Drosophila melanogaster: one gene and its partner. Changing the gene in region 1 together with any one later gene gives a genetic interaction. Each region holds a gene or a part of one and is shown on either strand. Other genes may lie near its edges.

The links. A genetic interaction does not mean that the proteins touch.
Region 2: of Pu (region 1) and Catsup, changing one suppresses a phenotype caused by changing the other (phenotypic suppression), as found in Drosophila melanogaster (one study listed by BioGRID).

The regions. Positions count from the first base shown.
Region 1 is NT_033778.4:21,177,102-21,180,855, reverse strand, and holds the start of Pu (punch), read right to left. Parts: upstream 1,739-3,754; 5' UTR 1,564-1,738; coding exon 1,212-1,563; intron 919-1,211; coding exon 709-918; intron 1-708. Other genes in the region: CG4286 (uncharacterized protein), read left to right, coding at 2,319-2,660, 2,723-3,040. UniProt on the Drosophila melanogaster protein: Isoform B is required for eye pigment production, Isoform C may be required for normal embryonic development and segment pattern formation.
Region 2 is NT_033779.5:19,039,754-19,043,507, reverse strand, and holds the start of Catsup (catecholamines up), read right to left. Parts: upstream 1,647-3,754; 5' UTR 1,563-1,646; coding exon 1,184-1,562; intron 1,129-1,183; coding exon 158-1,128; 3' UTR 1-157. Other genes in the region: mib2 (mind bomb 2), read right to left, coding at 2,386-3,754.

The sequences.
Region 1 (3,754 bases):
AAGTAGCCAAGTAGCCAGTGAGCCATCTAACAAACAATCCAACAAGCATCTTGTGTGTGTGGTGGGGAGGGGGGTGGAGTTCCCCCAACACCAGATTGGCAAGTCACGTTGGCTCGGCTTCTTGGGTTCTTTGAATTCGGGTTAAACACAATCCAACCCATTCTATTGCCGATGCCGAAGGCTATTCACTTTCGTTCAACGAATTTAGCTTTCAAATGGCCTGCTGCTGTTGCTGTTGATCTTAAATTTACATGCGATTTTATTTGACAAACCGTAGAACCTGATTTCTCGGGCAACCGGTTAGGTATGCTGGTGTAGCAACCATATAATTCGCAATTCTGTTTTGTTTCTCAAACGACTCACATTGATTACATGACAAGTTCAAAAGCGACTGCAAGTCGAAATGCACGCCAAACATGAGACCAAAAACTTTACTAGTCAAATCTCATATTTCATAGGATATTGAATGGATTTTGGATGCGTCCACTTGATTGGACAAGCCCGAAATTGCCTAATGGCTCCCTATGTTCATGTGCTTTATCTCTCGAGTGGTCAGGTAATTAGGCTAATGCACCATAGCGGACCGAGGAACCCCCGTAAATGGTGATTCACCGACATGAAACTAGTTCCCACTCGCTGGGAAAACCAGGATGAGCAACTTCGATCACTGACCCGGTGCTAATTGCTTGAAATGTGTGGTGTGCTTACCCTCGAGACTCTGGTCGTAGCCCTTGGTGAAGTACAGCATGGCCTTGGCTGCCCGCTCCGGCGTCTTGATCAGTCCCTGGCGATCGGGATTCTCGCCCAGGCCGCCCAAGAGTAGACGATACGAGCGTGCCATGTCCGGAAGGAGGGCCTCTCGCGTCGGCGGCTTGTGGTCCAGCTCCAGGTCGTGGTGGAACGTGCACTTCTCGTGGCCTGTAAATGGAAATACGGATGGAAACATGATGAGAATCGTTATCATGCGAGATAGGAAGGCATTGCCCCCCTTCGTTGGCTGTGTGTGGCTGTCTAAGTACTATTCCCCATTCCGAGGCGCATCTTCTGACCTCTGAACCGAAACACTAACCCACTGATAGGCGTACGGTTTATGCTCAAAAAGAGTTTGTCAAGCACTCCTCCTCCTCCTAGTTCATTGACTAACTAAATCGGTCGCAGCAAACATAGCTCTGGATCCCCTGACCTGGTCCTGGACCACTACCCACCACTACCTGGCGTTGTCGATGTACGCGGTGTCAGTGGTGTTTTCGGTTGTGTACCATCACTATCCGGACTGCTGCCGTTGGTCTTCAGGATGAGGCGGGGTCTCTGGTTGCCGGCCAACGGGACGAGAGCAGGAGCTGGCGCCACCTCCTCGACGGGTGTGCCCGCAATGGCAGTGGCCTCCTCCGCCTGGTTCTGCTGCCTGTCCGCCAGCGAGGAGGTGCCCGAGGTGCTACTTGTTGAGCAGACGCTGTTGTTGCGTCCGCGCGAAAGGATGTGGGCCTGCGGGAAGTTGGTGTCGTCGATGGCATCGTTCAGCTCGCTGGCACTCATCTCGGACAGTTGGCGGGTAAAGCTCATGGCGGTGCGGCTACTCAGGTTTGTTTGCCACTCGAATGGAACTCAATTTGACGGCTAGCACACAATCTTTTTTCCTCGATGATTTTCTCACTGCTATCTGTCTCTTTTTGCGCTGCTGTCTGCCGGACTTTGTCTTCGCGTGTTGGCGCTTCGGGTGGCTCTGCTCTTCTGGTGGCTGCTGTGGCCAGCGGTGGCAATAAGAACCTCTCGAGCGGAGCTTTGAGCGGCGGAAAGCTCCAATCAATAGCCAACAGACCATCCAACGGGCAAGCTCTGCTCCGAGTTTCGCTTGCCGGAGATTAAGTGAGCGGAACTAAACCGAGCTGAGCGCAGGCCCACGGTTTGGCATCCAGTGGCTGTAAAACCGCGCACGAACTTGTTGCTCGGCCAGGAGGCGATAGAACTACAGCACTAGCCACGAAAATAGTGCCATCAAATGTTAAAAACTAGCTTTGGGTGGTAGGTCAATTTACTTGTTAGGAAAGTAAAGCTACCTTATTGGGATAAGTGTAGCGTTTACCCTTAATATATATTATTAAATAGAGTGTACCAAGCTTTTGCCCTCAAACGTGCACTTTATCCTTGGCGCCAACTTAATCTCAACTATTGTTTGCATATCCTTGAAACCCACTCAACTTGGGGCCAGACGTCAAGTTGTAGTTCATTTAAACATTCCACTCGAAACGAGCTACTCCCCCAAATTCGAACCCCCTTCCAACCATCCGCCCCTCCATTCATCTTGGAGAACCAAAGTCATGGCGCACCGCCTCCAGCTCCGTAGCGATGACTTCGACGTTATCGGCGCCGTGCCCCGCAATCTGTCCGTGATCAAGAACTTCCTGAAGCGGGACTGTGCCATCAAGAAACTGATCGACATCGAGGAAGAGTTCCTGCAGGAATGCGTATTGCGCGGCCAGGATCCCATGAATCCGAAGGGTAAACGTGACAGTGACAGTGGGCCACATGGTAGTGGTTTGGGATCCAATGTGCCCGAACCCAAGCCGGATCCATGTGCTACCAAGACACCGGAGAACACATTGGCCTCCGACTACTGTGATCCCTGTCGCCGACTCAAGACCTCCGTGGTTCTCGAAGAGGTGAGTGATCTGTACATTCAATGTGCTTCAGTGATTTAGATGTTACTCCACTCATCTATCAGCTAACCAAGCCGGCCATCACAAATCCGGCTTTCAACAAATCCCTGCCGCCGTACTTCGATGAAGAGAGCGTGATGGGCAACTCGTTGCCCGTGAAGTTCCGTTTCCGGCGCAAGTTCAACAAGTGCGACCAGGAGAAGGCCGGCAACCTGATGTGCACCAACACGCCGAGCACCAATGTGGTCGTGTTGACCAACTGTTGCGACGTGATGGTCTGGCCCAGTCAACGGGTGGCCCAGATGAACCGGGTGCCGGTGACCATGCTGTCGGGCGAAGCCGATCTCACGGAGTACATGCTGGAGGAGGAGACCATTATGTGAGGGAATGGTTGGATGGGTGCAGCTTTTTGGCACATAACGCCGATCAATAAAGCATTAACCCCACTTAGAAGTGTCCTCATTTTGTGCGGGAAACCCTGCATCCCACATGTGGGGCTTCAATTGAAAGTAGCTAGTCTCTCCAGCTGGCCAAATTTGATTATTCTCTGCATATATTCGGAATCTTATTTGCATGCAAAGTATTCGTGGTTTATCGCGAGCACTTTTCTTGTTTATGGCATGGAGTTGAAGGTTATTCTTTATATATGTATATACATATATATGTCCTGAGAAATAGATTTTGGTGGGTTTGTAAAAAAGTACAAACCACAAGGAATGTAAAGCACATTAAAACCTTCCACCGCTGCTTAGGGTCGAATAAATCAGTTGGGAATAGCACAGGCTGGTTTAGTTTACATAAGTATAAGACAGCTGCAGATTATCGTTACAGATTATGTGACGTAGGTACAGTGATACCTCGCTAGTACTTATATATGTGCATGCAACCCTTAAAGAAGATGACTTGAGGGATGTCTGAATTGAAACCGCTTGTAAAGATGTAATGCAAATCGTTGAGCTCCAATGGGTTTCTTCCGGATTGGTCGACCCGTATGCTCATGCGGTGCAATTAAAGCATCATTAACATTTTCCACAGGGCAGGTGTTGTCTCCGGCTCTCTGGGCTGCACAATTAACCATTACGGCATTTGATCTGAAT
Region 2 (3,754 bases), on another chromosome or scaffold:
AACTAATAGCGGTTACTGACTGTTGAAATATAAGAAATTTAAGTAGTTGCTCATCGTTTTGAGTAGGTAACGAACAGAAATCTTTCAAATTGTTTGCGGCACACTTTCAGTACATGCAATTAGATCTTTTTTGTGTTAACTTTCCACAATTTTGATATTACTCGAACTTGGCGATAACGATCATTAGGGCTACGCCGGTTAGCAGCGCAAAGATTTCCTTCAGCGACTGTTTCAGTTTCGTAGACTCCTCAAGCAGCTCCGGCAGGACACTCACTGTTGCGATGTAAATAAAACCGCCGGCTGTGAAGGGCAAGACCCATGGGGCCGATCCGTCCCCGCCTCCAGCTCCCAGAAGAGCTAGCGCTGTGCCCGCCAAAGCTCCGAGCGCTGTGACGAGCTGCAGAAGCATTGCCTTTCGCCTGGAACAGCCAGACTTTATAAGAATGGCAAAGTCACCAATCTCATGGGGCACTTCGTGCAGCAGAATAGTGATAGTGGTCACAATGCCAATGCTGTTGCCCGCCAAATAGGAGGCGCCGATGGCCAGGCCATCGGTGAAGTTGTGAGCAAAGTCCGCCGCCAAATTCAAGTAGCCGGAAATCTCCACTTCGCCTTCTGGCTCCGCTTCTGGTTTCTTGGACTTGATCTTGGCTGGCTTTGCCGGTTTGTCTCCATCTCCGCTGTCTTCTTTGTCAGAGGACTTTTTCTTAGCAGGCACTGGTTTTGGCTTTGGTGCTCCATGGCTGTGGCCGTGTCCTCCATGACCGCCCTTTAGAATGCGTACCAGTTTCTCCACTGAAAGGAAGGCAATGATTCCTCCAAGGACCCACAGACCAATGCTCATATCGTGGCTGTGACCATGTTCATGCTCCTCGCCATCATGATGATGATGGTGATCATGGCCGTGATCGTGGCCGTGTTCTCCATGACTGTGTGGATGCGTGGCATGAGGAATCAAGTGCAGAAAGGCATCACCCAACAAACCGCCAGAAGCAAAGGCCAGAAGCACTTTGAGACGCGGCTTCATCGCCTCACTGTTGTCTAGGGGAATGATATACAGCAGCACGAAGGGAGCGGCACTGATAAGAAGAGTTGAGCCGATCGAGTGCAACCAAATGGTGCTCATATCTATAAGAAATTTGGGTCAACTCGGGCATTTTAAGAGTGGTAGTTCGTTGATTACCCAAATCCGGCTTTGCCTTGGTGTGCCTTTCATCGTGCCCGTGATGATGGTGTCCGTGGTCGTGGTCATGATCATGATCGTGCCCGTGATGATGGTGTCCATGATCATGCCCGTGGTCGTGGTCATGATCATGATCGTGCCCGTGGTGGTGGTGTCCATGATCGTGGTCATGATCATGATGATGATGGTGCTCCGCCCGTGGAGCCTTCTGCGGATCGAAGTTTTCGTTGGCTTCCCGCGAGTATTTGAAACTGGGATTGCCCTGGCCGGCGCACAACGCCGGGAGCGAGAAAAGCACTGCTCCCAGGATTACGACCAGTGCCAGCTTTTGGTACAACTGGAGCTTACTGCACTGGTAATCAGCCACTTGTTTGGCCATTTTGTCCTTTACTTTAGTTTCGCGTCGGACTGCGGCCAAAGTGTTGTGACGTGTTTGCTTTTTTTCTGGCTACGTTGTTATCGATTAGCGTGTAAATCTGGAGGTATCGATTGTTTCGCTCAAATAAAAAATAAACTTGTGTATATTTTCAATTATAAGTTGTACTTTGCCGCTTTTGCTTACATTAACTTTTAAACGGAGCTTAAGATCCGACAGCTTGCCAAGTCAATGCTTACAAAAATGCAAAACATTTAAAATTTATGCAGCGTACTGAAAGAAAATAACTTGTTCACACTTTGCCGTTACAACATTTCAGTTTTAAAATCTTTCTAAACTTATTATATATTCAATTTTAAACTAAACCTTTTAAATACCAATACAATTAAAAGTCACCCCAGCATATTCAGAAATAAAGTATCTTTATTTTCTGTAGGCTAACCACCGACATCGATTGAAATTCACTCAATTAAATAATTTTATATTTGTATATTTGCATTTAAATGACTATTAAATATTTGTATGCTTTAGTTAGTTTCCTATGTATTTATCGTTACCAGACATGGTTAAACGGGGCTAATAACTAGACACGAGAAGGTGCACATTAATTTGTTGCGTGTTGCGACGATGCCGATGATGAACCGATTAAAAAAGAACTCGTAAATTTCGTTTGTGATCAATAAATAATAATTTCGATTTGCACATGACACGGCAATGTGAGTGTGTGTTTGTTTTGTGTATGTATATATACAAGCCACTTTGGTTGCTGTTTGAATTGCTGCTGATCCTGCCGCCTTTGCTTTTCTTTCGTTTCCGTTACCGCCGTTCAGTACAGGTTGATCTTCTTGAGTATTGTCTTGCGACACATGTGGCATGTGCGGAGCGTTTCGGCACAATGGGAGCACGCGCCGTGCCCGCACAGGAAGGCCACATCCCTTTTTCGCTCCATGCAAATACCGCAGAAGTGCGACTCCTCAAACTCCAGCACTTTGTTCTCCAGATAGCGAAGTAGATCCCCGGACGGTAGGCGAGTGGGGTCACTAGGTGACGACGTGGACGTGGGCAGGGCCACCACTCGGCCGCTGACCGTCAATCGCCGCTCGATCGCCACGGCACAGCGGAGACACTTTTTCATTCGGATGCCGCACTCCTCGCAGGCGATCTGATGCTGACACGGCTCAAAGCGCACCATCGGCAGGATCTCATTGCACACAATGCACTCATGGGGACCGGGGACGATCACCGGACTGGTACTGGGTCCCGCCGCTCCGGCTTCCAACGCGGTACTGCTCGAGCTAGTGGTAACCGGAGGCTTGGGCGCCTTCTTGCGCGGTGCCACCTGTGGAGAGACGTTTTGCGGTGTTGCGTCGGAGTTCAGTTTCTTTACGCCCGGCGAGGCGGAGGGCGTGGATGGAGATGCTCCAACTCCAATGGCTGGGATATCGTTTGGCTTTGGCATTAGTTCAAATGTCTGGCGCTGCGGTGGTGGGGGTGCTGCAACGCTTCCAGGTCCGGCTCCATTGGATTCAGCTCCAGCAGACGCAGAGCTCTCCTCACCGTCGGCTGATCCTGCGGACACTTCCAAAGCTTGAAGATTCCTAGGCAGCGATTCAGCTTCGCCCTGCTGCCCAAAAATCAGTTGCCTGATGTGGCGGTCCGTTATCCACTCAAAAATGCTTGCATTGGCGTTGTTCAGCTCCACTCGGCAGCCGGCCCTCGAAAGATAGATCAATATACTGTACATCAAACGATCCTCAGGACGAATGCTCGAGTGTACTAGACTCAGGTAAAACTTGTGAATCTCAGGAGCCTCCTCTGGCTGAGGCTCCGCGGCCGACTGCAGATTGGACTTCTTAATGACGCACAAGTGCATCGCATTGTCGCCATCCTCATCCTTGGCATTCACGTCGCAGGAGAGGCGAACGAGTCGCTCGATTACCCCGGCATGGCCCTGGGAGACGGCCAGTAGGAACGGCGTCTGTTGGCGATTATTGCGTATATCTAACTCCGCTTGGCCCTCAGTGACCAGCGTTTCCACAACCTGGGCATGACCGTTAAGGGCTGCCAAATGAAGAGCCGCAAAGCCATCGTCTTTGCGCACATTGACCAGCTGGCGGGAGAGCAACAGGATACGGCGAGCAGCTACCACGTTTCCTTTAAGCGCTGCATGGTGTAGCACGTTAAAGCCGCGATTA